Linked DNA regions of Rhinolophus ferrumequinum. The protein of the gene in region 1 purifies or fractionates together with the protein of each later gene. This does not show direct contact. Links are inferred from orthologs where the notes say so. Each region holds a gene or a part of one and is shown in the gene's direction. Other genes may lie near its edges. The genes, in order: SNRPB2, SF3B4, SNRNP70 and PHF5A.

Region 1 (7,989 bases):
TGACAATTGTTAGTAAAGTTACATAGATTTCAGGTGTACAATCTGTATTACATCATCTATAAATCCCATTGTGTGTTCACTACCCAAAGTCAGTTCTCCTTCCATCACCATATATTTGATCCTCTTTACCCTCATCTACCACCCCCTACCCCTTACCCTCTGGTAACCACTAAACTATTGTTTGTGTCTATGAGTTTTTGTTTCTCATTTGTTTGTCTTGTTCTTTTGTAGTTTTTGGTTTATATACCACATATCAGTGAAATAATATGGTTCTCTGCTTTTACTGTCTGACTTATTTCGCTTAGCATCATACTCTCAAGATCCATCCATGTTATCACAAATGTTCCTATATCATCTTTTCTTACCGCCGAATAGTATTCCATTGTGTATATATACCACAACTTTTTTATCCATTCATCTATCGAAGGACATTTTGGTTGTTTCCATGTCTTGGCCACCGTAAATAAAGCTGCAATGAACATTGGAGCACACATGTCCTTATGTGTAAATGTTTTCAGATTTTGGGGTAGATACCCAGGAGAGGGATTGCTGGGACATATGGTAATTCTATTCGTAATTTTTTGAGGAACCTCCACACTGCCTTCTGTAGCGGCTGCACCAATCTGCATTCCCACTGACAGTGTATGAGTGTTCCTTTTTCTCCACAGCCTCTCCAACATTTGTTACTATTTGTCTTGATGATAGCCATTCTAACTGGGGTGAGGTGATATCTGATTGTGGTTTTTATTTGCATTTCTCTGATGATTAGTGATGCTGAGCATTTTTTCATTCGTCTATTTGCCATTTGTATGTCCTCTTTGGAGAAATAACTCTTCAGGTCCTCTGCCCATTTTTCAATTGGGTTGTTTTTTTTTGTTGTTGTTGAGTTGCATGTGTTCCTTGTATATTATTGATATTAGTCCATTAATGGAGGCACTGTTTGCAAAAATCTTCTCCTATTGAGTTGGTTGCCTCTTTATTTTGTCGATGGTTTCTTTTGCTGTGCAGAAGCTTTTTAGTTTGATATGGTCCCATTCATTTATTTTAGCCTTTACTTCCCTTGCCTTTGGAGTCAAATTCATAAAATGCTCTTTGAACCCAAGGTCCATAAGTTTAGTACCTATGTTTTCTTCTATGCAGTTTATTGTTTCAGGTCTTATGCTTAGGTCTTACATCCATTTTGAATTAATTTTGGTACATGGTGACTGATAGCAGTCCAGTGTCATTCTTTTACACATGACTTTCCAATTCTGCCAGCACCATTTGTTGAAGGAAGGTGCTTTTTAGGAAGTTTCAGCCAACATAATCCAAACCAGCTAGGAAAAGGCAAACCTGATTTGGTGCTCAACAATAGTGCCCAGAATTGTTTAATGTTTGTTGCAAAAATAATTTCATTCTACATAAATTTCTTAATGGAATCACCACCTGGAAAGAGAAAGAACATACAAATTGTACCTTCCGTTGTTCTATCTAACATAAATAAGCCAAAATTTATCCACCACAGTTTTATGATGCATTTTCCTTTAAACATAGCCCCCTTTCAACATTACTACAGAAAGATACTGAAAATATTTTAATGAGAAACATAAAACACGTGTAGATAAGGTAGGAAAATAAGTGTGCATTCGGAGTCACTAAGAACCACCTTAGTTATCATCCTTATATAGTAATTTAGGTGTCTTGACACAGTTTTATTCTCAACTGTTTGTAGTAATTTTTCTTCAACCCCTAAAATAAGCAAGTTTCATCATCAGTAGATACGTGTAGCTTGGCTAGAGTATTATATAGTGCTGCCTCTGGGTTTGGTTCAATAAAAAAAAGAAGAAAGAAAGAAAAAAGAAAGAAGGAAGGAAGGAAGGAAGGAAGGAAGGAAGGAAGGAAGGAAAGAAAGAAAGAAAGAAAGAAAGAAAGAAAGAAAGAAAGAAAGAAAGAAAGAAAGAAGAAAAGAAAGAAAGAAAGAAAGAAAGAAAGAAAGAAAGAAAGAAAGAAAGAAAGAAAGAAAGAAAGAGAGAAAGAAAAAAAACTGTTTCACAGGAAAGTGAATCATAGAATGGACAGAACTTCAAGTAAACTCATTTGTTTTTCTCTTCTTTTTAAAAACATATGAGTTTTGGAAACATTTACACAATTTCTGATTTGACCCTCAAGAGGTGAATTTGATTATAAAGGAATGCTGGTTGTTTTAACATCAATCTGATCAAAGTTTAGATGTTATAAAACTCTTAATATCGTTATATAACCAGGCCATCCAAAGCTTCTCACAGGGCCAGAAGAGCTCCTCTCTCCCCTTTATTCCATTCCCAGTCATGCTATCAATTACTGCCTTCTCAAAATCATTCAGGAAATCATCGGGGACCATTAGCAGGCCATTGGAAAGCCCAGAGCAACTGCCCAAGGATGGGAAGATGCACTGGCTCTGTTTAGAAGAACCTGGGGAAGAGCATACAGAAGTTGCCACTGAGTTGGCATTACATGATTTTCTTCTTACAGTGTAATTTATAGTAGCCATTTTTCAGTGGTTAATAGAACACAGTGTGTAGTCTGTTTTTAAATCTCTGTGTTTCCTATGATTTTTTTCTTTCCAGGTAGAGTGTCTTTGCAAAGTCCCACCTTGTCTTCTCTTAATATTTATGATACACTCTTGGCCAGAATGACTTGCATAATCAGTTAGGTTATAGATTATTTTTCAGAAAAATAGTTTAGCCATCTTCATTATCATTAAATAGAATTAATTGTTCAGACGCCATTATTAATGATCAGAGTAGCTTGTCCTTTGTTATTCAGAAATTGTATTTTATTTAGTTTATGTTTCCTTTAATGTACTAAGCATATTCTTTTCATATTTTTTCATAATTCCTTAACTGAGACAGAACTATTGACATTTCTTCTAATTTTCATATCTGTATAATAAAATAATACTTTTCTGTGGTTGTTTAACATTATTTCCTACACTTGTGTGCATCTTCATAAGTTTACTATTGTCTAATTTTTCCATGAAGCTTCATTCATTCATTCAATACATGTTTATAATCAGCCACTTTTCTAGTTACTGAGGGTACTTGAGTGAACAAAACTGGCAAAAATCCCCACCCTCAAGAAGCTTACATTATTTTCAAGATGTTGCAACTTTAGGTGATCTTTTAAAATAAAAATTCCCATCTTATAAGACCAACCTATTTGGCCCTTTCATTCATATGTCCAAGTCATAAGCAGCACTTAGAAATAACATTTATAAACCATTTATTTTGTGTTTAATCACTTTACACTTAGCTCACTTAATCCTCACAATAACACTAAAAGGAGGTACTACCGTGTTTCCCCGAAAATAAGACCTAGCCAGACAATCAGCTCTAATGCGTCTTTTGGAGCGAAAATTAATATAAAACCCGGTCTTATTTTACTATAAGATATAGTCTTATATAATATAATACAATATAATATAATATAATATAATATAATATAATATAATATAATATAATACCAGGTCTATAAGTAAGTTTTGCTCCAAAAGATGCATTAGAGCTGATTGTCCCGCTAGGTCTTATTTTCTGGGAAATACTGTGTTATGATCCCTAGTTTACAGAAGAGGAAATTGAGGCTCAGAGAGATTACTTAAGGGGAAGATGCAAGATTGGATTCCCCTTGGGTCATAACAACCATTTCAGATGATGCTTTACATACATTTGATGAATGGATGTATGAATACATGTATTTTTTGGAATTCCCATTCAGCTTGGCCTAAACACCAACAATTTGTATTACCCTAGAACAATCTAGGCATTTTGTGAGGAGGTGAGAGGGTGGGAAGAATGATAGGAAATTAATGGGGTTTTTTTGAGGGAGTTTAGGCCGATGATCTTATAGGTGTTTGTTTATTAGTCAAATGTGGTTGCCTTATGAGGAGAGAGAGTGTCGTACGGGGCGTCCGGCGGGGTCTCTGGTCCCACTCCCCACACAAAAACGCAGGATATAGTTATAGTTAGGCCAAAAAGGAACACCCACGGAGCCATAGGTAGGGAAGTCATACCACTATGGTCTCACTGGAGGCTGGGTTTACACGACGTGTGACCTGCTGTCCACTTTGCAGCCAACCAACCGACTCTCCTCCACTCTCCTCCACTCTCCTTCAGTCTCCTCCTCTCTCCTCCTCTCTCCTCGACTTCCCTCCGTAGCCATGGCAGTTATATTAGTGGCCAATGGCTCAATGGTTACAGCTGACGGCCAACCAGCCACAGCTGATGGCTATCTACTACTACCTGAGCCAGCACCTTTCTATGTGAGGCTGAGAGCCTGGAAACTGCTTTCTGGGGCTCTGTCCCCACAGAGAGCCTTACAGAGATATCAAAATAAATAACTTATAAATGTTATTTCTAAATGCTGACTATGACTTGGACATATGGATGAAGGGGCCAAATAGGTGGTCTTATAAGATCGGGATTTTTATTTTAAAAGATCACGTAAAGTTGCAACATCTTGAAAATAATGTAAGCTTCTTGAGGGTGGGGATTTTTGTCAGTTTTGTTCACTCAAGTACCCTCCTTCCGCTTTGGGGCCTCAAACTGAGCTGCCTCTGGGATTCAAGCTCATCAGTAGAGTGTTAGAGAGTTTCCCTGGAGTCCCAGGAATCAAAGGAGACTTGTTACGGGTACGGGCTGCCCTGAATATGATGTTAAACCGGGGGCAGCCAGAGCCCAGAGAAGGGCGAAACCGGGGCACCTGCCCTAGTAGTGAGTATGGAGGGGCTGAGCCTGTAAAACTATGTAAGATTTGGAAAGATGGAATGCACTTTTGTGTGGGGTAAAACCGCTCAAAGTCGTGGTAGTGTAAATAAATCAATGCCCTCCCCTATCCCTTCACTCCACAGTCCCAGCATTGGTTCCATTCCACAGTTCCCACAAGACCCCTCCCCTTCCCCCAGTCCATCCTCCCACCTCTTCTCCCCGCCCACCAGATATGCGCATGCGCAGAGATTCCCGGTTGTGGCCGCGGGTCATCGATTCATTCCGCTTCTCGATTTATCGGCGCTCGATTGAGGCGCATGGTAGGGTTACTTCCGGCTTCTGGCTACGTTTCCGGCTTTGTGTTCTTAGTGGCCACGGCGCCGGCCTCAGGTGAGTGTGAGCGCGTTCTCCCTTGCTGGTTCGGTTCTCCCTTGCAGGTGGCCGCGGGCCCAGCGCTCCCCTGTGGGAGCAGGGAGTGGACGAGGCGGGATGGGGGGAACCGTGCGCGTCCGGCCCAGGGTTCGCGGAAGGCTTAGCTAATGTGCGAGGGAGCAATAGAGACTGCCGCGTTGGTCCGGCCGGGCCCCCTAACTTACGAGCCTCTTTACTGAGATGGGTCGGTGCTGGGATCCGTGGCTGCTTTCTTGGGCTTCGGGCTGGGGCTTTGGGCGAATGTGCCTGTGTCTGGAGAGATGGGAGACTCCCGCGTACGGAGTGAAAGATAATCTTAATAGTTCCTTCGCTTATGCTAATTTACAGCTCGGTATGGGCTTTCAGTTGCCATTTGCATTGGGCAGCGACTTCCGTTGCCCCCTCACTAGCCCGGGCCACCGTCAAACTTCGCACGAGATACATTGCAAGAGTCTGCCCTCTGTTCTCTGCCTTCAGTTTGATCTCTCTATCACTTCCTTTCCCTCCAGGTTTCAGGTTAGGGGGTCGCAAGTCTCTGGGAAGCCTTGCTTTTTTTTCACCTATTACCTGTACAAGTACAGACTTTTCCCTTGTCAGTCATCCTTTGCAGTTCACATACAATGGGTGTAGTTGTGAAGTTAAGGAATATGTGGGGCGTCCAAGGAAATCAAGGTCAGAATTTGCAACCAAAAACAATGTAAAAAATGAAATCGTGAGGTGAATGTGAAAGAAAAGTGCAAGAGACCGGAAGACAAGAGCTGAGTTCTCAGGCCTGCTGCTTATTAGCTATGTGACCTGAGACAAGGCCCTTAACCTTCAATAACAACACTTAGTGCTTGCTGTCCATGCAAGAACTGTGCTAGATCTTTATCTCATTTAGTCTTCTGAGTTCTACTGGGTAAAGGCTGTTACCATCCACATTTTACAGCTGTGAACCTGAGAGATTAAGGAACTTGCCCTCAGTCGAGCAGCTAGTTAGGTGCATAGATAGGATTTGAATTCAGATCTGGCTGGTAGTAGAATCTGAGCTCTTAACCATCATGCGGTACTGCTCTCTCTGCGCTCTATTCTCTCAAGCTGGTTAGAGGTAACTTTGCAGTTGGGACAGTTAGTGATGGTGTGTATTAATGAAGTAATAGATATGAAAGTGCTTTATAAGTATACCCATGAAGTAGTTCTTGGCAAACTTCATTAATGTTCTAACTTAGTGATTTTTACTGGATGTAGATTTGCTAAGTTTCTTTTTCATTTTTCTTCAGATCTACTTAATTTTTAATAATTTGCTTAGAAAAGTTATAAGTAGTTAGACAAACACTGTCAGTTGTAAGTGAAAGATAAGTATAAAAATGAATGTATTAAATAAAATAATGTTATTGAAATCTGCCTAGGTAGTAGTGCTCTACCAGGTTTTGAGCTTGAGAATTGTTCTCTTTTGGTTTAAAAAGGATGGCTAGCAAAGTGTTGGTGAGGTTTTAAAGACACTTCCAAAGTGGTATTCTCTGACACTTGGGATTGAAAGGGAACCAAAGTTAATAAACCCTTGTGTTGTATCCTAATGCCACGCTAGAGTTTAAGTTAATAATCTTCCCTATTTATAACAGAATATTTACTGTCTCTTTAGGCTGTTTGAACAGTTTAACCCAAAACATGGATATCCGACCAAATCATACAATTTATATCAACAATATGAATGACAAAATTAAAAAAGAAGGTAAGTGCTTTTTAAATATACTGGTTAACAACCGAAGTGTGTTTAATTTCTACTGTCTTAAAAATTGTGCTACTTCGAAACTTCTCATTTAGTCAGTCATCTTTCTCAGTGCCTGAAATAATGGTTTCTCTTTTGGGGTAAGAATTTTAAGGCTTTTTAAAAATCAAATAGATGTGGGCTGAAAATGTATTGAATATGTTTTTAGTCATAGATACAACGGTTTCAAATAACTTTTTAAAATTAGATAGCCAATGGGAATAGTATGATGTTATTAAACTTTGTAACTTTGTATAAATAAAAGAGTGAATGGTGGAGGCAGGGGCCACTCAATGCAGTGTCATTTTATGAAGGATTTTGTCTTTGTTTCATTCACAAATAACTTGTTTCCTTTCTACTTTTGCACAGAATTGAAGAGATCCCTGTATGCCCTGTTTTCTCAGTTTGGCCACGTGGTAGATATTGTGGCTTTAAAGACCATGAAGATGAGGGGACAAGCCTTTGTTATATTTAAAGAACTGGGCTCTTCCACGAATGCCCTGAGACAGTTGCAGGGATTTCCATTTTATGGTAAACCAATGGTAGGTTGATCTTACTGTTTTGGCTTTACTCTCTATGAGTGGTATAATCGTTTCACGTATATGTTTACAAATCTATGGCTATTGCTTTCTGCTGTTATGAGTTAAAGGGAATTTGGGTTTAATTATCTATTTTTATAGGAACAGTAGTAGATTTTATAATTCACTCATTAATTTATGACAGTTCAAATGGGCAAAAACAAAACATTGAGATCGAATATTTAAAAAAGAATGGCAGTATAGGCAATATTCTCATCTCAAAATAATTAGGAATTAACAATAAGTCAGAAGATTAAAAAGAAACTTCTGTTCGTAAACTTACAAAACAACACCACAAAAGCCATGGGTTAGAGAGGAAATCTGAAGTTTCAGAAAATTCCACTGTGTAATATACATATCAGAAGCTATGCAGTCTAGATAAAGCAATGTTATAAGGAATATTCATAGATTTAACTTGAGAGGCTTTATTAATGAATAACAATGAAAGGAAATAAAATAGTTACACATGGAAAGTTTTAAACTCAGGAGGACATGGTGAGATTCACGTTTAGCTGCTGGAAGAAGATTTTAT
Region 2 (7,825 bases), on another chromosome or scaffold:
TTCGGCCCCCTGATCCTTCGCTTTCTCCTCAAATCCCCCATATCCCACAGACTGATTTCCTGTTTTTCCGGACCCCAACATATATTCTTGTTTTGAAACTGCTTTATTGAGATATAATTTACATACCATAAAATTCATACGTCACCTATCTTAGGTGTTCAACTCAATGAATTTTATTATATTTACAATGTTGTACAAATATCACCACAATTGAACTTGGAAACCTCACGGCCATTGTCGTTACTCCTCATTCCTGTCCCCAGCCCTAGGCAACCACGACTCAACTTATTCTTAACCCTTCAGGCTATAGAGCCTGAATCCCGAATCCCACGTTTTCCTGATCTCTGCCCTTCTGACCTCTCTACCCTCTATCAGATTCATCCGTAGCTGAGGATAAGTGGCTCTCAGCCCTGGAAGGGACACGGTGGTTGGACTACATCAGGTACTTCCTCTTTTTCTAGCCATGATTTATGATTCAACCCTCCCCAACCTTCTGTTAACGTGGACGCCTAATGGCCTCTGAAGTCTCCTGGTCTCCCGAGAAGACCGCTGTGATGCTGCCCCTTACAAGGGGCAGGATTTTGGGCTCTGCCTCTATTACTCTCCTCAAAGCTTATCATTCTTCCGTCCTCTTCCTCACCTGCCCCTCCAGGGCTTGTCTTCGGAAGGCCAGTGACATCTCAGTCTTAGTGACATCCAGGGTTCGCTCTGTAGTACTTCAAGGTGAGTTTCTTGGATCACCTCACTCCATTACTTGACTGTGTCCTTCACCCACCTGACTGGATCCTGCTCAGGGAGGGAGACCTATTGTCTCTAATTACAGCTCCGCCTCTCCCTTTGCTAGGAACTACCATGAACTCTAACTCACCCTCCAGTGCTACCTCTGTCTCCCCATTACAGCCCGTGGTCCCTAACCAGGGTTTCCGTCCTCAGTTACCATCCTTCCATCAGTGGAATGGCATGGGGGTTGGTGTGGGAAGGAATGTGGAAGTAGGTTTGAGATTTAGAATCTGCCTCCTACATGTGAGGCTGGTTATTTCTATCCGGTGGCGTCTACAAAGTGAATCATTCAAGGTCTTTGTTTTCTCTTCACTTCTATGTGCCCTCTCAATCCTACCTACCCCAAACTTTCTCCTCTGGCCTCTCACTTCTTGCTTTGTTTCCTTTTCTCATTCTCTTCTGCCCTAGTTTCTCGGCCCCTCCTTTGTCCCTTCTCCCTCTTCATCACCCAGAGCGCGGTGATCGTGATTTCAATGGCCTCCTCTCTTCACTCGTCCAGCTGCTTTCAGCCCCTGAAGCCCGAACACTGCTTGGCTTCCAATCACTAGTGCAGCGAGAGTGGGTGGCAGCTGGACATCCCTTCCTGACCCGACTTGGGGGAACTGGGGCGAGCGAAAAGGTGAGAACATCTTGGGAAGGTTTTGGGTGGGGGCCAGCATTCAGTATTACTAAAGAAGTAAGGGGATCAGAAAAGTATACTCCATTGGAGGTGAATAAGGTCTGAAGGGTCCTGAGGGTAGACTGAGCTTGAAGGGAGACCCAGATGCGTGAGGGACCACATCTATGACATGCTCAATTCAGATTCCATTTTCTGATCTCCTTCGGGGCCCTTGTTCCGTGTCCCCCATCATTTTGTCATCCTCCCCCTTTAGGTCACCACAATCCCATCCTCTTAATTTCCCTCTTCTCAGGCCCCCGTGTTTCTCCTCTTCCTGGACTGTGTCTGGCAGCTCCTCCAGCAGTTTCCAGCTGAGTTTGAATTCTCTGAGTTTTTCCTTCTTGCTCTTCATGACAGTGTCAGGGTTCCTGACACCCTTACATTCTTGAGAGACACTCCCTGGGAACGTGGAAAGCAGAGTGGACAGGTCAGTGACTTCCAGTTTTTACTTGTCTCCCCCACCGCCACACATACACACTGAGAAGTAATTTCTGAAGTTTAGTCTTGATTTATTAAAAGTTAGGTCCATGGGTGGGAAAGGGTGGAGGTTGGTGCTCACTCTCAGCATTTGACTTTCACCCTACGTCTGATTCCTGGAGTAAGAGACGAGAGTCTGAGAACTTCTCTCTAGACCTGGGAGGAGGATTACATGTGTATATGTATGTATGTATGTATGTATGTATGTATATTTTGTTTAACCATCCCTTTTCTTGTTTCCTTTGTCCAGTTCAACTCCTATACACAAGTCTATACCCCAGGGTATTCCCAGCCCCCAGCTGGGGACTCCATTAACCCACAGCTGTCTGTCTGGGACTGGGATTTACGATACAGCCATGAACAGATACTACAATTCCGTAATCCTGGCTATGACCCGGAATACTGCCCAGATTCCTGGCTCCCTAGACAGCAGGTGAGGTGTCTAAACTTCCTCAACTCCCTTGAATTTCTCACAGGCTCATCCTACTTGATGTGGAGAAGTGGAAAGAGACAGTATCTGAGTCCCCCAGGGAAAGCTTCCCCACTCCTCTTCTATAGCTGTCACAGTCCCTGACTGTCCCCAGGAAGACAGAAATCCTAGAATAGCAGAGGGCATCCTTTTTGTTCTCATCTTCTGTCCCTTGCACACGTTTTATAAATTTCCCTAAAATCAATTTTAATCAGTCCTGAGGCCTAGGCTGAAACCTAATGAGAAGGAAAGATAAAAGCTCTCAGCGAGAGGCCAGTGCAGTGTGAGTGGGAGGCAGCTGGACATTCTAGCTCTTGACTGTTTGGGGAAACGGGTCATCTGGTTCCTAGGCTTCCAGTTGATTTCCCTTTTCCTTTTAGCCAAGCTTCATGGTTACTGGACCCCCCAGTTCTGTGTGGCTCTTCTCTAGAGGGGCCTTGACCCCCATGAATCAACTCTGTCCTTGGCGCGACAGTCCCTCCATGTTGGCAGTCTCTTCTCGTTGGCTCCCCCGACCTGCTATCTCCTCTGAAAGTCTGGCTGATCAGGAGTGGGGGCTCCCCTCGTACTGGGGAGCTTGCCCTTTACCCTCGGGGCTGCTGCTACCTGGATATCTGGGACCTCAGATCAGGTTCTGGAGACGCTGCTACCTGAGGGGAAGGCCTGAGGTCCAGGTGAGGAAGGAAGACAGGGCCTGGGAGGTGAAGGGTTTGACTGCTGAACCAGATGTTTCCAGGATCTGGAACAGCAAAGGGCTGGGGGGATTGGGAAGTGAAATACCATTCCCGTTGGTATCCAAGTGGATAGGTTTGGGAGTGTGGGTGGGGGAAGGTGCTTGTGGCTCAGATCAGGTGGAACTTAGGGCACAGTTAGAGGGGGAAAGAGAATTAAGACACCAGAAGTGGCAGACAGATTTTAGAAGCAGAGAGCTGGAGCTTCAATAACGTTCCTCTCTGCTTGTCTGCACCCCTTCCCAGACGGGCCTCTCAGCTCCCACAATCTCTGGCCTCCAGGATGAGCTATCCCATCTTCAGGAGCTATTAAGGAAATGGACACCAAGAATATCTCCTGAGGATCACTCCAAGAAAAGACATCCAAGTACCATTCTCTCCCAAGCCCGTTGAAATTGCTTTCTCATGGGCCGGGAAGAAGGTGGTCTGAGGGTTCAGTCTAATCCTTTGATTGTTTTATATCTGGTCTTGCTGCCTCAGCTTTCACACTCCAACTCTTAAACAAGCTTGCTGACTTGTTTCCATCACAGATGGGTGGTCTATCATGTTTGGTTCCTCAGGATTATATACAGAGGGTGCCAAAAAAAATGTATACACGTTTTAAGAAAGGAAAGAACTATTAAAATTGTAATACTCAATATATACCGATAACAAAAGATGAATACAAGTCGTGTTTGACTTCTGCAATGACAAGAGGTACTCAAAGTGGTTACTATCATGGTCCAGACATTTCTGAGTACAGCAAACTACTGCTTGAGCAACGTTGACCAAAGTGTCCCATTTGTGTATTTTTTTTGGCACCCCCGGTATATCGCGTCTTGTGATTTGAAGAATTTAGAAACAAAAACAATCCAGAATATGATCACCTGTTTTTTCAGGGCAATTCCATCCCTTTTGGATATCCAGCTTTGTGAGAGCAGAGATATGCTGTTCCTTGGTCCCAACAAGTTGGCCTACCGACCTCATTCTCCCCTCTTCTTGCTGCTTCCTGAATTCCAATTTCTATTTCTTCCCTTACAGCTTCCTGTGGGTATGGAGTGGATATGGGAGACACCCTGTCTTTTCCAATTGTATATTTTTGTAGTGACATTTCTATTTAAGGGATTCATTAAAGCGCAGTATTTATACATGTTGCTGGCATTGTTTCGTGTCTGAATAAAGGAGCCTAGGCAAGACGGGGGTGGGTACAGAGAGGCTGGGTATGACTGGAGAGAGATGGCACCCACCGTATTATTAAGGAAATAAGGGGTTGGGTCAGGTGAGGCTCTGCAGAATTCACATGCAATTTGGGGAAAAGGTTCTTCTCCAAGCCTCCCATTTAGTGGCAGACGTGGGGCAAACGCACACCGAGCCGTGGTTGCTGAGGCCGGGTGTGTCCTAGAGGTTGAAGCCTCTGGGTTCAGTGTCAACCACGCCTCAGCTTTGGTCACTTAGAGCCTCAGCTTCCCCTCACCCCCACCCCCCACCCTAACCACGAGGCCACCTCAGGCATCACTCCGGCTCCAACATAAACTGCAATCCCCTCCCTTCGGGGAAAACGAACTACTACTTCAAGCCTAGGCTGGGGCTGCGGGCGGGAGTGGAGCGCTGCCTCCACGCCTAAGGCAGCCGAGTGAGTCCTCAGCACACCCGTCTCCGGGGAACAAGTGACGATCATTTGGCACAAAAATATATGAAACACAAAGTTTTGTTCTTTTAGTTTTCAAGTTGACGTTTCGGGAGCGGTATGATCCTGCAACGTCTTGCACTGCTTTGAAAGAGGTCTGAGCGCTTCCGTTCCGCCGTCCTCGCCCTGAGAACTCAAGCGGAAGACTCGGAGAAAGACCAAGGCGCACAACAGCCCGTCCCCGGGGCCGCATCCAGTCTTAGCGGCTCCTAAGATGGCCGCCACCGCTTCCGGCCCCGCCCCACGCCGCGGCCCCGCCCACAGCCTCACGTCGGCTTTTGCCCCCGGAAGTGGAAGTAGTGACTGAGGTCGGAGGGCGGGATCGCTGCTTGGAGACGGCGGGAGCTCTTCCATCATGGCGGCCGGCCCGATCTCCGAGCGGAACCAGGGTGACTGGACGGGACAGGGGGGCGGTCTGGGGGGTCCCGAGTAGGGCCAGCAGTGTTTCCGCCCGGGCGGGAGACTGCGCCACCCAGGAGGCCGCGGGACTAGCCACTTTGCTTGTTGGGGGCGGGGTGGCCCGGTGCCGGCTACGGCCTGTAGGTGTGCTGCTTTCTAGTATGTCGAATCGCGTGCTTTCCCACTCAAAAAGAAAATCAAAAGGAGAATTTGCAGCAGGACTCAAAATTTGACTTCAGAAGATTCCCTAGTTCTTGGAAAGAGGGAGGTGTAGGGGCTTAATCTAAAACTCTCTCTTTTTTTTTCCCTTTTTGCTCCTGTACCGTCTCCACCAATTCTCCCACCTGGGTTTCATCTTCACGTTCCCGTCATCTCCTTGCACGGCATACGCATCTCTGCCCTAACTTGCTGCTCGCACCATCCAGATGCCACTGTGTACGTGGGCGGCCTGGATGAGAAGGTTAGCGAACCGCTGCTGTGGGAGCTGTTTCTCCAGGCAGGACCAGTAGTCAACACCCACATGCCAAAGGATAGAGTCACTGGTCAGCACCAAGGTGAGTACAGGCCAATAGGTCCGTTTATTTATTGAGGACAGACGGCTCCTGAGGACCCCAGCAGTATTCACAGCTGTCTTGGAATAAGCAACGTAACTAAGCATTTCTTTCTCTTAAGCCGACCTAGCTCTCGTTTGTTTCTGGAGCCATTCTTAATTGAAGTGAGGTTATTATTTTTTGTTCTTTGTGCTTTCAAAGATGGATGAGTTACGCCCTTTTTTAAGCACGTCACTTCGGTTGTGAACCTCCTGTCTTCCACTTTCCCAGGCTACGGCTTCGTGGAATTCTTGAGTGAGGAAGATGCTGACTATGCCATTAAGATCATGAACATGATCAAACTCTATGGGAAGCCAATCCGGGTGAACAAGGCATCAGCCCACAACAAAAACCTGGATGTGGGGGCCAACATTTTCATTGGGAACCTGGACCCAGAGATCGATGAGAAGCTGCTTTATGATACTTTCAGCGCCTTTGGGGTCATCTTACAAACCCCCAAGATAATGCGGGACCCTGACACAGGCAACTCCAAAGGTTATGCCTTTATTAATTTTGCTTCGTTTGATGCTTCGGATGCGGCCATTGAGGCCATGAATGGGCAGTACCTCTGTAACCGCCCCATCACGGTGTCCTATGCCTTCAAGAAGGACTCCAAGGGTGAGCGCCATGGCTCAGCAGCTGAACGACTTCTGGCAGCCCAAAACCCACTCTCCCAGGCCGACCGCCCTCATCAGCTGTTTGCAGATGCACCCCCTCCACCCTCTGCCCCCAACCCTGTGGTATCATCACTGGGGTCTGGGCTTCCTCCACCAGGTAAAGCGTTTGATTCACAATATGTTTGTCTTGGGTTTGGGGGTGGGGCAGAAAGAAGGAAAAGAACGGATAAAGAGGGACATTGAGTCGGTAGGCGATGAGAAGGGGATTGAAGGCTAGTGGTTGTGGTGGGGAGGAAAGTTGCTGAGTTTCTCCAGGAGGCGGAAGTTTTCTGTGTTGGCTGACATTGCCTCTGAGTTTGGAGAGCTGAGAGGAGCTCGTCCTGCCTGGAGAGGCCAGATTGGAACAGGTTCTCGAAAGACATTCACTCTCATTAACTGTTCTTCTGTTTCTTCCATAGGCATGCCTCCTCCTGGCTCCTTCCCACCCCCAGTGCCACCTCCTGGAGCCCTTCCACCTGGGATACCCCCAGCCATGCCCCCACCACCGATGCCTCCTGGGGCTGGAGGACATGGGCCCCCAGCAGCAGGAACTCCAGGGGCTGGACATCCTGGACACGGACACTCACACCCTCACCCATTCCCACCAGGTGGGATACCCCATCCAGGTGAGTACTCTTTGCTGGAAAAGGAAGGGATGAGCTGGGAAGAGGAGCTGTCACCACTTATGCTGCTGTCCTTTGTCTCTCAACAATAATAGTTCTAGAATGTCTTTCAGACATTTTTTTATAAAAACAAGACATTTTTTTATAAAAACAAACACAAGATACTTTACTCTCTTTAAAAACTACCACCTTGTCTCTATTTCTTACTTGTTTTTCCAAAGTTTACAACTATCCTTGTTGTTTTTTGTTTCCTTAACTTTTACTTCCATTCTTTCCTCTGGCTTCCATCTCACGGCAGTTACCTAATTGCTAAATCTAGGGGACACTTCCACTCCTTATCAGGTTTGACCTATGGTCTTACTTGAAACTGGCTATGTGTTCCTGTTTGAAAATCTTATCTCTTTCGCTTTTCTGGATCCACTTCTTATCTGTCTCCTTAATTTTAGGCACCTCAGTAGGCTCCCTTTTCTCTGCGTGTACCTAGGATTTTGTGTTTTGTTCTCCTTTCTGCATAGTTCCATTACTTGTACTTTGATGCCTCCGAGATCTGTATCTCTGTTCCATGGTTGTTCACATTCCAGACTCTTAATCCTGCTGTTGAAATCGACAGCTCCACTTTCCACCCTCCCCTTCAACCCTAGCCTTCCTCTAGTATTCTTTGTTTTCGAGTGCTTAGTTCAGAAATATGGGGCTGTGTTTGACTATTCCCTGTCATCCCACTCTTGATACCAAGTCTTATTAATATTTCTGGCGTCGGCCCTCACTGCCAGTGCCCT
Region 3 (7,955 bases), on another chromosome or scaffold:
AATTGTAATAGATACATACGATGTCAGAGGGGCAATAGATTGGGGGAGGGAGGTTATCACTTTGTGAGGGGTGAAATGTCTAACTATTGCATTGTTTTGTACATCAGAAATTCGTTTAAAAACTGGAAAAACGTAAAACAAAATTGCAAAGATAGCACAATTTGTGAATATCCTACGCCCAATGTCCCCTAATGTTGGCATCTTACATTGCCATACCACCTGCATTAAAACTAAGAAATTGACACTGGTACAATACTATTGACTAAGTGACTTTCAGATTGCCTCCGTTTTCCCACTAATGTCCTTTCTCCATTGTACGATCCAATCCAGGATACCATGTTGCATTTAGTTGTCATGTCTCCTTAGTCACCTGCAATCTGATCGTTTCTTACTTTTTCCTTGTCTTTAATCACCTCAACGCTTTTGAAGAATACTGGTCAGTTATTTTGGAGACTGTCTCTCATTTTGTGTTTTACTGTGATTAGATTGAGATTATAGTGTTGGTTTTTTCTGTGGGGGAGCATGCCACAGACACAAAATTCCCCTCTCATCACATCATATAGGGGGCACAATATTGATATGTCTTATCATTGGTAATGTTCACTTTGATCACTTGGTTAGGGTAGTGTCTGCTGGGTTTCTCCATTGTAAAGTTTGTATTTTTCCCCTTGTAATTAATGACTATTTAGGGGAGCCATGTTTTGTGCTCAGTCAAGTTTATCAAGGTTTAATTTACATACAATAAAATTTACCCTTTATAGTGTACATTTCTATGAGTCTTGGCAAATGTATACAGACATGTAACTGCCACTCGAATCAAAATATAGAAAAGTCCCACCCCTTTCCTAGAGTTTCCTCCTTCCCTTTGTAGTCAGTCAACCGCTCTCCTCTGCACCCCGCCCCACCCCCGGTTTCCTGCTCATGGAAACTACTTACTGCTCTGTTTTCTCTCCCTCTGTCCCTGTAGTTTTGTTTTTTCCAGAATGTCAAATAAATGAAACCATGCAGTAGATAGCCTTTGAATCTGGCTTCTTTCACTTAATAAAATGAAGATTCATTCCTGTGGTATCAGTAGGTCTTTCTTTCTTAACTTTCTTAACTCTCGGTTGTATTCTAAGGCATGGATACACACCCATCTGTTTATCCATTCACTCTATGAAGGACATTTAAGTTACATTTCATTTTTGGTGATTATGAATAAAGCTGATGTAAAAATCCTTGTACATGTTTTTGTGTGGACATAAGTTTCCAGGTCTCATGAATAAGATAAGTAAGTAGTTAAGAGTGGCCATGATAGGTGTATAAGTAACTTTTTTTGCCATCAGCAGACAAATGTATCATAAGACTTTTTATCTTAATATCTTTTCTATCTTAAAAAAAAACCTCCTTGACTCTACTTCCCTCTCCTGCTCTTATCACCTCTCTCTGCTCTCTTTGTAGCAAAACTTCTCTGAAGAATTTTCCCTACTTGAGGTCTTCCCTTCACCTCCCTCCCATTGTCTTGTCAAGGTCACCTATGGTTGCCAAACTTCAGTCCTTACCTTTTGCATTGGACACACTGAACACTGCCTCCTTGAAGCATTTTCCTTCTTGGCTTCCTGGACCCCTCACTACCCCAGTTTTCCTCCAAAATTCGTGATCACTCCCACTCAGTCTCTTTTGCTGGTTCTTCCTGCTTTATCTAAACTCTAAATGGTGGAGGGCCTTGGGACTCGGTGCTCAGACTTCTCCCCTTCTCTATCTTCTCTCATCTCCTAGGTGAGCTCATTGATCGCATGGCTTCAAATACTATCTTTATTCCAATAACCCCCAAATCTGGGTTTTCCAGCCCCCGACTCTTCTGTAATTACCGTATGTCCCAACTTTCAACTCCACAACTGCATATGAGTGTCAAATGGGCCTCTCTGACATGTCTAAGCCCACAACTCCTCCTCCATAACCCCACTCTTCCCTATGCCTTCCCTCATCTCTAGAGAAATAGCACTATCAATTACCAAATTGCTCAGTCTACAAATGTAGGAGTGAGTCTATTATTAAGGACTATTATTAAGGGGAGATTAGCTTCATTTTTTCCCCCTTCTCCTGCCCCCCCGCCCCGCCCCACCACACTTGGTTCAAGCCGTTGTTTCTCAGTCTAGTTGTATAGGACACAGCTCTCTGGCACATGCTGGTATTACAAGCCTTGCGCTTCCCTCCCCCGCCACCGGGAGGCAGTCAGTAGCCAGCAGCACACTGCAGCCTGTAGCAGCCCAGCTCCAGGGAGAGCCTTGTTCACAATCTTAGCTGTAGAGGGCGCAGCTCACTGGCCCATGTGGGAATTGAACTGGCAACCTCGGCATTAGGAGCCCGGCACTTCAACCACCTGAGCCACCGGGCCGGCCCTTAAAATTGTTCTTTAAACTTGTTACTCTGAAATGATTTCAGACTTATAGAAATGTTACAAAAATAGTACAGAGCTCCCATATATCCTTCACCCAGCTTCCACCAATGTCAACTTCTTACATGACCAAGTACAATTATTTGTCAGGAAATTAAAATTGATATAATACTATTAACCAATAATACTGTAGACCTGACGAATTTCACCTCTCCCATGGATGTTCTTTTTCTGGTTCAGAATCTAATCCAGGATTCCACATTGCATTTGATTGTCTCCTTAATTTTCTCTAGGAGTTAGTTTTGACTTCTCTCTTTTCTATACACTCTACTCCCACTCTTACAGCAACTGAATAAGTGAGCTCTACTTTCACAATATATCCCGAATCCCACCACTTCTTTCCACCTCACTGCTACTGTCTCGGTCCAAGTCACCATCTCTTCCCTGGAAATTGTAGCCTCCTACCATGTTTCCCCAAAAATAAGACCTAGCCGGACAATCAGCTCTAATGAGTCTTTTGGAGCAAACATTAATATAAGACCCGGTCTTATTTTACTATAACATAAGACCGGGTCTTATATAATATAATACAAAACCAGGTCTTATATTAATTTTTGCTCCAGGAGATGCATTAGAGCTGATTGTCCAACTAGGTCTTTTTTTCGGGGAAACATGGTAACTATCTCCCTGTTTCTGTTTGAGCTCCTTCGCTGCATTTTTAAAAATGCATTAAAGTGATCTTTAAATATATATATATATATTAGATTACGTCCTCGTGATCAAAACGCTTTAGTTACTTCCTATTTCATTTCAACGATAATCTGTCCTCTCCCCCATGTAATACTTGATTCAGGCAAGGATCAGCAATGGTTGCTACAATCGTGAGGTGAGAGATGGTTGGGGAACAGAATATTTGCAAAGCTTCACTGCTCAGATTACCAAAGGGAAAATGTACCTTTATAAAGAGAGATCTGGCAGTTATATCCTTGACGAGGTGACCAAACTCAGCATCCTAATAGGGGAACCATTTGACATTATGAACCTCCAGATCTGATACAATATGACTTCTGAAGTAGCACCAGGAAAATGTTCTTGCCAAAAATGCTTCAGTCTATTCAAACCTTCAGACTCAATGTCCGTTGTATAGGCAAAGCCGGGGGCGTGCAACAAACTAAACAATAGAAGGAAACAATCAGACAAATCTAGATTATGGGACATTTAACTGGAAACTAGTCTGACCTCTGGGAAAAACCAACATAATGGGGAAAAAAGTGTGTGTGCGTGTGTGGATCTATTCTATATTAAAACAAGGAGATATGACAACTAATGCAATGTGTGAACCTTGACTGGCTCCTGGTTTGGATCAAAACAAAATATTCTTGGGTCAGTTGGGAAAACTTTCTTAGGGGTGAAAGTAATTTTGTGGTTATGTAGGAGAATTGGCCATATTCTTAGAAGACATATACTGAAGCATTTAGAGGTGAAGTGCCTCAGCAATTTCCTTTCAAATGGTACAGAAAAAAAATACATTATTAAGGCATTTAGCTTTGTTTATTTTCTTTAAATTTTATTTTGAAATAATTTTAGAATTACAGTAAAGCTCCAAAAAATAGTGCAGAGTTCCCACATACATACATAAAGCAAATATGTCAAAATATTTTTGAAAGAATGTGCTCTTATATTACTCGTTTCTTGAAACATGAAATTGGTCACTTAAATTTTGTAATAATTTTCTGTAATTATCATTAAACAGGCAATTGAATCTATTCAAAAAAAACCTTAAAATACAATATTGAACTCTTTGCAGGTATACAGGGCCCTAAATAACACAGCTGCCAGCTCTCTGATCTCAAGGTCCACAAAGTGGGATTTCTGCCAGTTGTCCTTAAATCAGGGCCTTTGCACTTGCTGTTAGTCCCGCCCAGGTCTCCCTTCCACAGGGCCTTTGTTCAAATGTCATCTCGTCAGAAGGGCCTTCCATTAACAACCTCTCTAAAATAGCCCTGCTCTCATTGCCCATCCACTTACACTGCCCTATTTTTCTTTATTGTGCAGGCCATTATCCGAAATTATATTTACTCTTTTAAATGCCTTTATTGTCTCCCCCAGTACAATGTAAGCTCCAAGAGGACAAGGCTTTGCTTTAGCCACGTGCTATATTCCCGAAGTTCAAACAATGCCTAGCATACATTAGGCGCTCGGTGAGCAATTATTGATTTTAAGGGTTAGGCATCTAAGTAATCATACTAGTCACATGCGGACTTTTTGCCAGGCAGCGGAAGGGTACACACGGTACATAACGATTCACGCATGCGCACAAGACTCGGGGAAGTGTGTTTGGGGAAAGGGGCGGGGTACCGAGTAAAGTCTCGCGGACACAGGCAGTTGGAGTACAGAGCGCGAGGCCGAGGCGCAATGCTTGGTGAAAAGCGCGCGTGCGTACTGCGAGCTCCAGCCGGCCGCGGCAAGAATTTAAGGTGCCGGAAGGCGGGGCAGTGATCTCGCGCGTGCGCAGTGCCCACAGCTGCGACCGGTCCGTGAGTGTGGGCAGGGGCTTGTCTCGCGCGGCGCGTGCGCAGTGCGCGCGGCGGAGGGATTTGAGGCTGGTTCCACCTTTTGCCCCTGTCGCCAACCGAGGCCGCGCGGGCTCCTGAGCAGCGGCCTGGTGCGCGCGCTGAGCTGGCGGCGGAGGCAGGAGAGCGCGGACGCCGCTGGAGTCCAAGCCAGAGCAGGAGTCCCTTCTGCTGAGGGGCCGCCGCAGCCGCCGCGAGCCCTCGGACCGTCGTCAGGTCGAGGAGGGCGCCGCGCGGCGGGTGAGTGTGACTGAGTGGCCTTACCGGGTGCGGGGCTGCTACCCACAAGTCCCCGCGGTGGGCCCCGGTCTCTTTCCCTCAACCGGGCCCACTTCCCGCGCTACCGCCACAGCACCTTTTTGTACCCCGTTACCTAGCTAGAACCTTGGGCATTTAGGCCCTCCTCCCATAGCGCTCCCGTGGTCCCTTACCCACAGGCCCTTGCGATGCGTTGCCTTTTTCCTGTCGCCGCTGAGTCCTGGACCCTTACCCATAATTCCTTTCGCCTTTGGGGGGGGCAAGATCTATTACCCACAAGCCCTTGGCTTTAGGGGTTTGCTAATTATGACCCTCTCCCGTTGATCAGAGACCTCCTGCGATCCTCGCCTTGTTCTCCAAGGTATGGGACCACCAGCCGCTACTGCTCTGGACCGCTGTCAGGATCCTTGTTTTTCCTATAATCCCCCAGGGGACCTCTCAGCTCCACAGTTCCTGGCTCAGGACGCTGAGACTACCTAGAAACCTTTTTCAGTCTTTGTTTCCCTTACGGGACTTGCCCCACCCACACACAGCCCTCTTCCAAGAACTTGCTTTCTCATTCACATTTACTTTTTTTCCTAGTGACGTAGGATTACGCCGTGCCCTTACAGAACCTATTTTAATACGAAGACTTTACCCCATTTCCCTCTTTTCTTGGGAATAAGGGATTATAGGAGCTCATCTCTACCAGCCCATCCTAACATAAGGCTGGTTCGCTTCTGTTCTCAGACTTGGCAAGATGACTCAGTTCCTGCCGCCCAACCTTCTGGCCCTCTTTGCGCCCCGTGACCCCATCCCATACCTGCCACCCCTGGAGAAACTGCCACATGAAAAACACCACAATCAACCTTACTGTGGCATTGCACCCTACATCCGAGAGTTTGAGGTGAGTTCACTGAGCAGACTTGGAGTGGTTTGCGTTCTGGGGGTCTTGGGGAGGCTGTTCTGGATTTGGGATTCCAGTATCTGGCGGTTTTCTAGCTGTGTGACTTAGGCACGTGATTTATTCTTTATGATCCTTAGTTTGTCTGTCGTAAATGGAGTTGATAATAGATCCCTTGTTGGGTTTTTGTGAAAATTCAGTTAACTAGCAGTTGAGGATTCAGACTCTGGAGTTAGGTGATCCCTTGGCTCGCACACACCATTTATCAGCTGTGTGACCTTGGGCAAGTGGTGTATCCTCTTAGTGCATTGATTTTTTCATTCTTAGCAAGGGGATAATATTATTTTTCTCATGATGGGTATTTAACTGCAAGATATATGTTATGGGGCTTGGCTGTCAGCAAATATTGATGTTATTGTTATGTTTCTGATATTAATTTGGTGACATTCATGAACGGTTAGCACTGTGTGATAGGGCGCTTAAGGCCACAGGACTGCCGAACTTCAGCTCGGCTCCCTCTGGATAAACATGACTACACGACTTAGGTTCCTGGGCCTCAGTTTTTTTTATTCGTAAACGGGGGATAACAACATCCACCTCTTAAGGTGCATCAGAGCACACCTGAGAAATGCTGGCACACAGCCAGAAGTCGGAAGAAGGAAGTTCTGGCATTGAGGGGGAATGGGCAGCTGGAGGTGAAGAAAGTCGCATAGCAGAAGTTCATAGATAATAGAAGATTGGCTCTCTAGTAGGATTTGCCATCCTCAGTGAACCAGCACTTAGGTAATGTTAGTAGCCAGTTACACTAATTTAATGGCTACAGGCTAGTGACACCCTTCGGTGATATGAGCCATGTGCCAGTTACTATTTAATGAGTGGTTGGTGACCTTCAGGAACTGCGTTGGCCCTCAGAGGGTGTCCAGTTGTCTGCTTTTGAGCACTGCACTGTTGGCTCCTTTCACTTCAGGCCTAGTCCTGAATTTGATCTGTGATAAAGGACAAATCTATTGCAGATTGGTGCTCTTGATAAACACAAAGGAATTATTTTCATTTTTCTAGCATTTTCAAAGACTACAAAATAGAAGATAAAATTTTTATCAAGTTTTACAGGTATAAAAACTCTCATCACATTGCTGTAGAAGTTTCCGAATACTACTTACTACCGATTTCTGTACTACTTTTGTCGCAGACCAGTGACAGTTTGCTGATAGCATTGGTCCATGGACCGTGCTTTGGTCTTCACCACTCCCCCGCCTCCACTGGCCTGGGAACTGTCCTTGTTTGTTTGCTTATTTGTGTGTGTATGGGAGTGGTACATGGCTGAGATGCTTATTTCCTGGATGGGTAGGTGTCCCTTGCCATTTCCCCAGTCACTCCCTCCATGTCATCTCTCCTCTTGTTCCCAGGACCCTCGAGATGCCCCTCCTCCCACACGAGCAGAAACTCGGGAGGAACGCATGGAGAGAAAGGTATGTAATATTTTGCCTCCTGGCCCTGTCTTTTTTGCCACTTCTCAAGAACGTTCCTTGACATCAGGGCACTTCCATCTGCATTGAATTGTCTATCTCCTGACAGAGGCGGGAAAAGATTGAGCGGCGACAGCAGGAAGTGGAGACAGAGTTAAAAATGTGTAAGTCTCTCTCTCATTCTCTCAGATTTCTTCTTCAAACCCTCTTGTGTTTCTCTCCCCCAAGTCAACCCCAGGTCCCTCCCTATTTTCGGAAAGTGGGGTGGTCAGTTCACTTTTTAGCCCTCACCGTTTGCCAAGCTCTGTTTGGTTTAGGCATTTAAGCTGGAGAGTGCGGAGTTAGGATTGGCAGGAAGGGAGAGCGGTGGTACTTGGGCTACGTACTGCAGGGGCGTG
Region 4 (7,843 bases), on another chromosome or scaffold:
ACCTCTTCTCCCAGCTCTCTTACAGCAGTACCCAAAAGGTTTTCCCGAATAACCGTCACATACCCGATATCCACGGAGACTATGGAAGGAACAAGCAATTTCCCCAGAGCCAGTCTTTTTTAAATGCATGAGCTGAGGGTAAATGCTGGGGCGATGAAGGCTGTCGGCCATCTCCAGGATTAGAGACAGACTAACATTCCCCAGGTGCCTACATGCTGGGCCAGATTTGCCCCAAGTACTTTATACACACAGTCCCATTTAATACAGCCACCCTGAGGCAGAAAATAATGTGCCCATTTTACAGACTAGGAAACTGAGGCTCTGGAATGTTAGTTATTTTGCCCAGGGCCACACAGCAAAGGTGGAATTCCAGACCTTGCTCCAAACCTGGTGCCTTTTCCTTTGGCCCAAGCTTTGCAGAAGGAACCCCCCCAAAAAAACAAACAAACAAACAAACAAACATTCTCCATGCCCTTTAGGACACCCAAAATAAAGAGCTTCTACAGGTTCATTAAGGGCCTATTCCTAAAATAACACCAGAAACTATTCACAAATTTTTATAATGCATTAGAGTCTAAAGAACTTTTCAAATATTCTTAGGCTTTCAGGACCCTTAATGGCAGGATACCTATTGATTGTCCCATTTTGCACGTGTATAACCTGAGGGCCACCAAGGGTAGAGGGCTTGCTTGAAGCCACACATTAAGTCTGTGGCAGAAGAAGTTTCCTGATATTCCATGTGCTGCTTTTTAAAATGCTGCAGCCTCCCTGCAGTCCCCACCTGCTTTATGCTGAGAGGTCCAGAGCCTTCAAAGCAGGGCATCAAAGAAAGCTGGAGCCAAAGAAGTGGGACTGCTCAAGCATCAACACTCATTTTAGACACTTTTCATGTGGCCCTCTTGAAGTCACCAGGTACCAGCATAAGGCCCAAGATAGAACAGGGCTCACTTCAGGCAAGATGCTCATACTCAATTGAGGCAGCCTGGGGCGAGACATGCAGCTTCCTCCCCTGTGAGATACAGGTCCTTGTTGAGAGTTGATAAAAAGATCAAGAATTTATAAACCAGCTTCAGCCCTCACCTAAGTTATACAAGTACTCAGCAAACACATGACTACTGAGTTCAAGTTCACCCATCCCTCAGTTGCTTCTGTCCCATGACCTAGGAGTCATGCTTAATTATTCCCTGTCCCTCACACTACACATCCAACCCGTCTGCCTCCAAAACATCGCCACTACCAGGACGCTAGTCCCAGACACCTTCACCACTCCCTGGTTAATTCCAACAGCCCCACTGGTCTCCCTGCCTCTTTTGTCCCTGGGATCCATCATCCATGCAGTAGCCTGAATGATTTTTCTCAACTATAAATCAGATCCTGTCACTCCACAGCTTAAAACCTTTATTACACTTGGAGTAAGACCCAATGTCCTTACCAGAGCCTACACCACCCTGCCTGCTACCTCTTGCTCAGACCTTTCTCTTCTCTCGACAGCTCAGCCACACTGGCCTCGTTTCTTATCCTCAGCTAAGCTCATACCTATCTCAGATGCTGCACATGCTATTCCTTCTACTTGAAGTCTCCCTCTCCCCAAAATGCTGAAGGGCTGCCTTATCACTGACATGTTGGCTCAAATGTCACCTCTTCTGAGAGGCCTTCCCCAACCACTCTGGTTTAAGCCATGCCACGTCCGAGCCTTACTCTCTCTACCAGACTATCCTATCTTATCTTCCTTACAGCATTTAGTAGCTACAATTCTCTTATTTGTCTACTTGCTTATTTTGTCTCCTCAGGACTACGATATAAGCTCTACTATTCTTGTTCTCTATTGCACTCCGTGTCTAGAACAGTGCTAGGCATACAGTAAGTTTTCAATCAACATTTTGGAAACAGTAGGTCCAAAAGGCGACGGTGTGCTCCCCTAGTCCTCAAAACGGTGATTCTACTCCCTATGCCCAAATTTGAGATTGGAAGTTTGTTTCGTCTTCCATTCAATCATTCATTCATTCACTCAATTCAAACCAAGAGTTGACCACAGGACACCTGAGAAGGTACCACAGTGAACATGCGACCAGAATGACCTGATTCATAATTCAAAAATGTGATACTTTATAGACGCACTTTTAACTTCTGTCAAATGTCAGACTTCTTTGTAGTTCCATCTCCGATTTACACACAAGAGGTTACACGGCTTCCCCAAGGTCACATAATGAAAACTCTGCACCCCGCTACCTCAAGACAAAGCCAAAGACCTAAGAAAAGTATTTGCAAGTGCCCAAACCCTTTTATTTACCATCCATAGTTATTTGCACAAAATAAAATATAAAACCCAGTATTACTTTTGCTCCAAAAGACGCATTAGAGCTGATTTCCAGCTAGATCTTATTTTCAGGGTAGTAATTGCCATCATTCTATTATCTGTCTTCCAGCCAAGGGCAGGAGAAAAATATTTTGACTGAGAAAGATCTCCAAGGCTCTCCATAGTAGAATACATTAGAATATAGTGGAAGCTCCATGAGAACAGGAATGTCTGCTTTACTTATCATTGTATCTGAGGCAAGCAGTGGGTGCTCAGTAAATATGGGGTGAATGAGGCAGGGAAAAAATTTTATGCATGACATGACAACTAAGGTAGTACCATCATATCTCAAATGGAGCTAAACAAAAGAGTTAAATTTACAAGGTTTTCAGGGGACAATGTTAGCTGGCCGTTCCTTAAGACAGCCTGGCTACTAAGAGGCAGTGTGGTATAATGCTGTTCCTTCATCTTAGCTAAATGAACAAACAAGGAGCCCTGAATTTTAATCGTGACCCTGCTCCTGGAAACCGCTCAGGCTCCCAAAGTCTTGCATTTTCTATCTGTAAAAGACGAAGCTGGACTACAAGATCATAAACAAATATATTCTACTTTCTCAGGACTTTATAACAATCATCATAACTATCTGAGTAGAAGCCAATCACCAAGAACTCAATAAACGTTTGTCAATGTAGGTGATCCCCAACTGAAAGATGAGGAAACTAAAATACAGAAGTAATTTGCTGAAGGTCACAGGGTCCAGATCTCTTTCTATACTGGACTAACATTCATGCTTTTCAAGATCCTTTTTCAGTTCAAAAATACTGTGATATTAGTCCTCTCATCCAAGTAATCATTTATCTTATCAAATAATCTTGCCTGACTTCACTACAAGGCACAGCAGGATCAGGAAGAAACTACAGTATTTCCACATTGTTAACCTGGAAAATCAAAAGATCTGAAGAAATAATTAGGACAAATTCTTTGTCTTTGTTCAGAATTGAGAGATGAGAAGTGTTTTAAGATAAATGATGATTTCACTTTAACCATAAGGTTTACACTTAAGCAGTGATAAAAAAAAAGATAACTTCTAGTAACAAATGTTTCCTGAGAGTACAGCAAATAACAACTTTCTAAATTCTATAACCAAAGTTGTGCCACTTGATTCAAAGTAGATTCACAAAGTTAAATGTAAACGGTTATCAAAGAATGACTACAAATGCTTGCTTTATTTTTATTAACAAATACATGCGTGACATTGAACCTTAAAGTATAACACCTTCCAAGGGTTGTCAAGTCAGACATGAAAAAGACATCTGGGAGTCACAGTCAATTTTCTAGATGGTTCATAACAGGAAAGTCAAGGTCAAACTGTGTGTCTCTTTACCCTCTGCACCTAGTAACTGAAAAGCAACTAAAGGTGAGCCCCAAATACTCCATTCTAGTACTCTCAGAAATACAAATGTTAGCTCAAGGATCATACTCTGGCTGAGCAAGTGCTGGGAGGACAGGCTGACAGGAACAAGGCAGGCAGAGGGACTAGAAGGAAGGCAGATGCTCAGGCCACTTGCGTGACAGCGGTTAACTTTCACCTACTTTATTAAATAAGAGTAATCATCTTAGATGATTATATGACTCAAAGTATGATAAGGAATTAAAAGTCTTTCAATCTTGTGCAAAGGTGAGAGCGAGACTACTGTTATTACTATTTACTACGTCTGGGGTCGGAAGACACCCCCACCCCCACTCCCTCAGTCTTGGCTATGTGTTCCGCAGGATCCTCAAAAGATTCAACAGGATTCTAGTTTCTTCTCCAGACTCCAGGCCTGGCAATTGTAGATGCACCTGGCTAGCAAGTCTCTGCTGCTGAGAAATGAAAAGCGAGGCCTTTAGGCGCTGGGCCCAGCGGGCTCAACCACGACCACACCCCCAGTCACCTTGTCCTCACCTTGAGGAACGGAAAGAAACCCTACGGGGAAGGGGAGTGCGGTCCTCAAATAGGAGAAAGAAGTGCCTCCACTCTTCACCCGGCCACTGCTGCTTGGACCCACGCTTCCCGCGGGGCGGAGACAGCCCTGGGAGAGCTGACTGAGCCGGGGACGCTTTGACCTCGGGCGCCGGAGGATCGGACACGGGCGCAGGGCCCACAGTCGGGACAGGTACACAAAGTCATCGCAGGTCGGGCCCGCCTCGCCGCGCCGCGCCCACAGCCGCAGGCACAGTAGGAGGTACCCCGCCCCCGTGAACCCAGAGGGCCCTGAGCTCGCTCACCTGCAGCCGGGTCACCAGGAGGCTGTAGGGCGCCATTTTGTGCACTGACAAAGATGAGGTCGCGTGAAAGTGACGTGACAAACAGCCTATTTAAAGCCCTCGGGGGGCGTGGTCTAAAGAGGCGTCACGGCAAAGGCGGGGCCTCCGCAGAGGCACTTGAGTCCCTCAAGCGCAGTGGGCGGAGCTCCCGTGTTAGGGACCGACCCGGAAGAGGAAAGAGAGCTGCATAAAAACACGGAATGATGACCTATATATCCTGGAAACAAGATTGCAATGTAGAAAGTTCTCGGATTTGTTATAATTGAAGCTCCATTAAGATACGTTGATAGTACTTTACATTTTTGATCAAAGAGATATCAATGTCAATGTATGGGAAATTTTTCTTAAAATTTGTTCATGTATTGTTTTGCTCCATTTTTCTGTGCATTTGGTGCAATAAACCTTTTGAATGTATCTTGAAGAAAAAACACGGATGATTTATCCCAATACAAGTTTCATCTTTACACTTTGGAATTTGTCTCTTCCATCCAAATCTGGGAAAGGCATTTTTATATGACTCTCACGCACCTGCCCGGACCTGACTCCCCAACAGAAACTCGTCTTTGGAACGCTAGGGTTTTGATCGCGCGAATTAGAGCAGGGCATGGTACAAAGATTGTGAACGCTGATGGAAGCCTAGAGGACCAATCACGGCGACAAGGAGGCAGGTACAATGGGGGTTAAAGGTCGGACGGAAGTTCCCGCAGCTTCCGGTGGCCGCTTGAGTGTGTGCTATGGCTAAACATCACCCAGACTTGATCTTTTGCCGCAAGCAGGCTGGTGTTGGTGAGACCGCTTCCATGCGCTCGGCTCCCTGGGTGGGGGTGGTCTTAGGAGCTGGGGAGTCCGAGGTTTCCATCTCTTTCTAGGGTCTTGCTTCGGAGGTGCCACGTTTCCCGCCTCACGGTCCGCAGTGTAGGCGCGCGCGGGTTTTGTGGCCTGTGATGAAAACTAGGCGGTGGCGCTCTTGCTGGGAGCCGAAGGCGGGCGACCGGGGTGGGGTCCGGAGAAAGTTTTATTGCCCAAGACCTGGGAGGGGCTTTAGGATGGTGTGGATTTGGGAAGTTTATGAGGGATGGATGGGTCAGGGCTCGCTGCAGTCCCTGCTCCGATCCACACCCCAAGCTCGAGGATGTTTTTCTCTCTTCATCAAACCTTTAATGCTAATTGTACTCTTTACTTTGCAGCCATCGGAAGACTGTGTGAAAAATGTGAGTCGAACACGCCCTCCAGAACACCCCACCCCGGCCTACTCACAGTTTCTGTGGAATCAGCAAATGGGCATTTGCTGTGGGGCCCCAGCGGGCCTTGAGTCATTGCGCCCGGAAGCATGTAAACACTGGATGCCAGGCTGCAACCAGAGGCCCCCTCCACTTCCCCACTCCAACTTGCACATTTTAGACAGCGTTTAGGTTTTGAGAAAATCTCTAGCTTTGGACACAAAGTAGCACGACCTGGTCTCCAACACAGTTTTTGCCAGTAATTGTGTAGACTTATCACCTACCCAGTGCTGTTCTAAGCCCTTTACATGTTAGTTGATTAATGTTTCCCATGTATTGTGGGGATGGACGCTAAGTAAGCCAAGTTTTGTGATGCCAAAGTAGAGTGCCCCAGAATCACTGTCAGGAGACTCGTGTGTTTCCCCATAGCAGGAGGAGGGCAAAGGACTTCAGGTACTGCTTGTAAGTGGGCATTACTCCATTCTCTTTTCCTCACAGGTGATGGCAAATGCGTGATCTGTGACTCCTACGTGCGGCCCTGCACCCTGGTGCGCATATGTGATGAGTGTAACTATGGCTCCTATCAGGGGCGCTGTGTGATCTGTGGAGGCCCCGGAGTCTCCGATGCATATTACTGTAAGGAGTGCACCATTCAGGAGAAGGATGTGAGTATGTTCTAAGCTTTCCGTTTGATCTTTCCTTTTATTTAAAAACACTCCGCTCTCCATGACAAACTCTTATGATCTGTGGAGATTAGTATGTTCAGCTAGTCATCTAGGTTATAATTTTTTCAAGTTCTTTGAGCCCAACTGGGTGTAGTCCAATAAAAGGCAGTTATTTTCCATCAAGGGCAAAACTGCAAGAGAAGCATTTTGTCAACACCAGCAATTTGGAAAGCCCTCTCTATTCCTTTGATGTCTCTCTTGATTTTTTTAATTCAGAAATAATGTCCTATATTTTGTAAATTCTAACACAGTGCATGGTGTGTGATAGCCACCAATTCTCTTTGCTGTCATTAAGGACTGTTTGGGTAGATGTGGTGACATTTGAATTTGGGGAAATTCAGGTTGATTTCAGCTAAAGAATGCCTTTGGTTTGATATTGTGGAATTGATTCTGTTGCATGACATTTGTGTCCCTTGACACTGTGTGGTAGCAGTGGCCAGTTATTCACTTCCTTGAGCTTGATAGAGAGGACTTATAGATCTATACTAAGGGCGAGTTTTACCATTTTTCCTTAGCAGACTTCTTGGGGGAAGTCTCATGAACCAGCTTGTTTTTTTCTTATGACACAATAAAAGAAAGTGTTATACAGTACGTAGGCTAGTGGAAAGTATCTGGTTACCTAATCTAGGATAAGGCAAAAGATACATAAATCTTAATATTCCCATGAGTAAAGAGTAGGTAGGTTATAGATGTTATCTCGCTTATTCTTTACAATAGTTGTGTTAAATAGGGATTATTAGCCCCATTTTACAGCCCCTCACCCAGCTAAAAAGTGGCAAGTTTAGTCAGACTGTCTGACTAAACCGAGTGGTGTCCCCATTACACCGAGTTGTCCTTCTGTAAATCTTTTTGGTAGGGTGTGTCCATGTTGAGGAGAAATAACCCAGCCACTTCAGCAGCCTGCATTTCGGTCCTGTCTAACCTCAGTAAGTGGGACTTAGCAAACCAGATAAAACTGTTTCTTACACTATTAAGTCTTCTGTTATTTAGGGAGATGAGAAGAGCCATCGATAAAAATACGAAAAACATAATTTCGGTTGGTGACTTGAACTTCCCTCATTACCTAAACTCTGATTTGCACTTACCTTTGCCTGTCAGATCATGTCCTGCTTGATTTGATCCGCCAGCTAGGTGACACTGCTTTAGAGGAGTGATCTTGGTTTATATTTGTGTCTCCTTTTCCCACTTCTTGGTGTAGTTCCTGGCATGTAGTAGGGTAAGCATGGGACACATTATTGGTGCTGACCTTATAAGTCATCCATAGACATTCCCCCTACAGACTGTCTGGTACACAG

The links.
Region 2: the proteins of SNRPB2 (region 1) and SF3B4 purify together in Homo sapiens (affinity purification with mass spectrometry; 4 studies listed by BioGRID and IntAct, with this or other methods). This does not show direct contact. The link is inferred for Rhinolophus ferrumequinum from reciprocal best matches to the Homo sapiens genes SNRPB2 and SF3B4.
Region 3: the proteins of SNRPB2 (region 1) and SNRNP70 purify together in Homo sapiens (affinity purification with mass spectrometry; 5 studies listed by BioGRID and IntAct, counting the BioPlex papers as one, with this or other methods). This does not show direct contact. The link is inferred for Rhinolophus ferrumequinum from reciprocal best matches to the Homo sapiens genes SNRPB2 and SNRNP70.
Region 4: the proteins of SNRPB2 (region 1) and PHF5A purify together in Homo sapiens (affinity purification with mass spectrometry; 4 studies listed by BioGRID and IntAct, with this or other methods). This does not show direct contact. The link is inferred for Rhinolophus ferrumequinum from reciprocal best matches to the Homo sapiens genes SNRPB2 and PHF5A.

What each region holds. Positions count from the first base shown.
Region 1 is NC_046306.1:37,113,701-37,121,689, forward strand, and holds the start of SNRPB2 (U2 small nuclear ribonucleoprotein B''), read left to right. Parts: upstream 1-4,980; 5' UTR 4,981-5,038; coding exon 5,039-5,111; intron 5,112-6,753; coding exon 6,754-6,843; intron 6,844-7,248; coding exon 7,249-7,421; intron 7,422-7,989. UniProt on the Homo sapiens protein: Involved in pre-mRNA splicing as component of the spliceosome. Associated with sn-RNP U2, where it contributes to the binding of stem loop IV of U2 snRNA.
Region 2 is NC_046305.1:50,392,841-50,400,665, reverse strand, and holds the start of SF3B4 (splicing factor 3B subunit 4), read left to right. Parts: upstream 1-4,822; 5' UTR 4,823-5,136; coding exon 5,137-5,170; intron 5,171-5,605; coding exon 5,606-5,734; intron 5,735-6,001; coding exon 6,002-6,544; intron 6,545-6,845; coding exon 6,846-7,052; intron 7,053-7,825. Other genes in the region: MTMR11 (myotubularin-related protein 11), read left to right, coding at 376-442, 653-723, 1,233-1,399, 1,692-1,865, 2,166-2,348, 2,765-3,058, 3,362-3,508. UniProt on the Homo sapiens protein: Component of the 17S U2 SnRNP complex of the spliceosome, a large ribonucleoprotein complex that removes introns from transcribed pre-mRNAs.
Region 3 is NC_046298.1:44,386,471-44,394,425, forward strand, and holds the start of SNRNP70 (U1 small nuclear ribonucleoprotein 70 kDa), read left to right. Parts: upstream 1-4,943; 5' UTR 4,944-5,190; intron 5,191-5,937; 5' UTR 5,938-5,947; coding exon 5,948-6,094; intron 6,095-7,497; coding exon 7,498-7,560; intron 7,561-7,666; coding exon 7,667-7,721; intron 7,722-7,955. UniProt on the Homo sapiens protein: Component of the spliceosomal U1 snRNP, which is essential for recognition of the pre-mRNA 5' splice-site and the subsequent assembly of the spliceosome. SNRNP70 binds to the loop I region of U1-snRNA.
Region 4 is NC_046293.1:6,514,265-6,522,107, forward strand, and holds the start of PHF5A (PHD finger-like domain-containing protein 5A), read left to right. Parts: upstream 1-4,832; 5' UTR 4,833-5,116; coding exon 5,117-5,267; intron 5,268-5,289; exon of another isoform or gene 5,290-5,337; coding exon of another isoform or gene 5,338-5,389; intron 5,390-5,790; coding exon 5,791-5,814; intron 5,815-6,321; coding exon 6,322-6,488; intron 6,489-7,843. Other genes in the region: ACO2 (aconitate hydratase, mitochondrial), read right to left, coding at 4,565-4,600.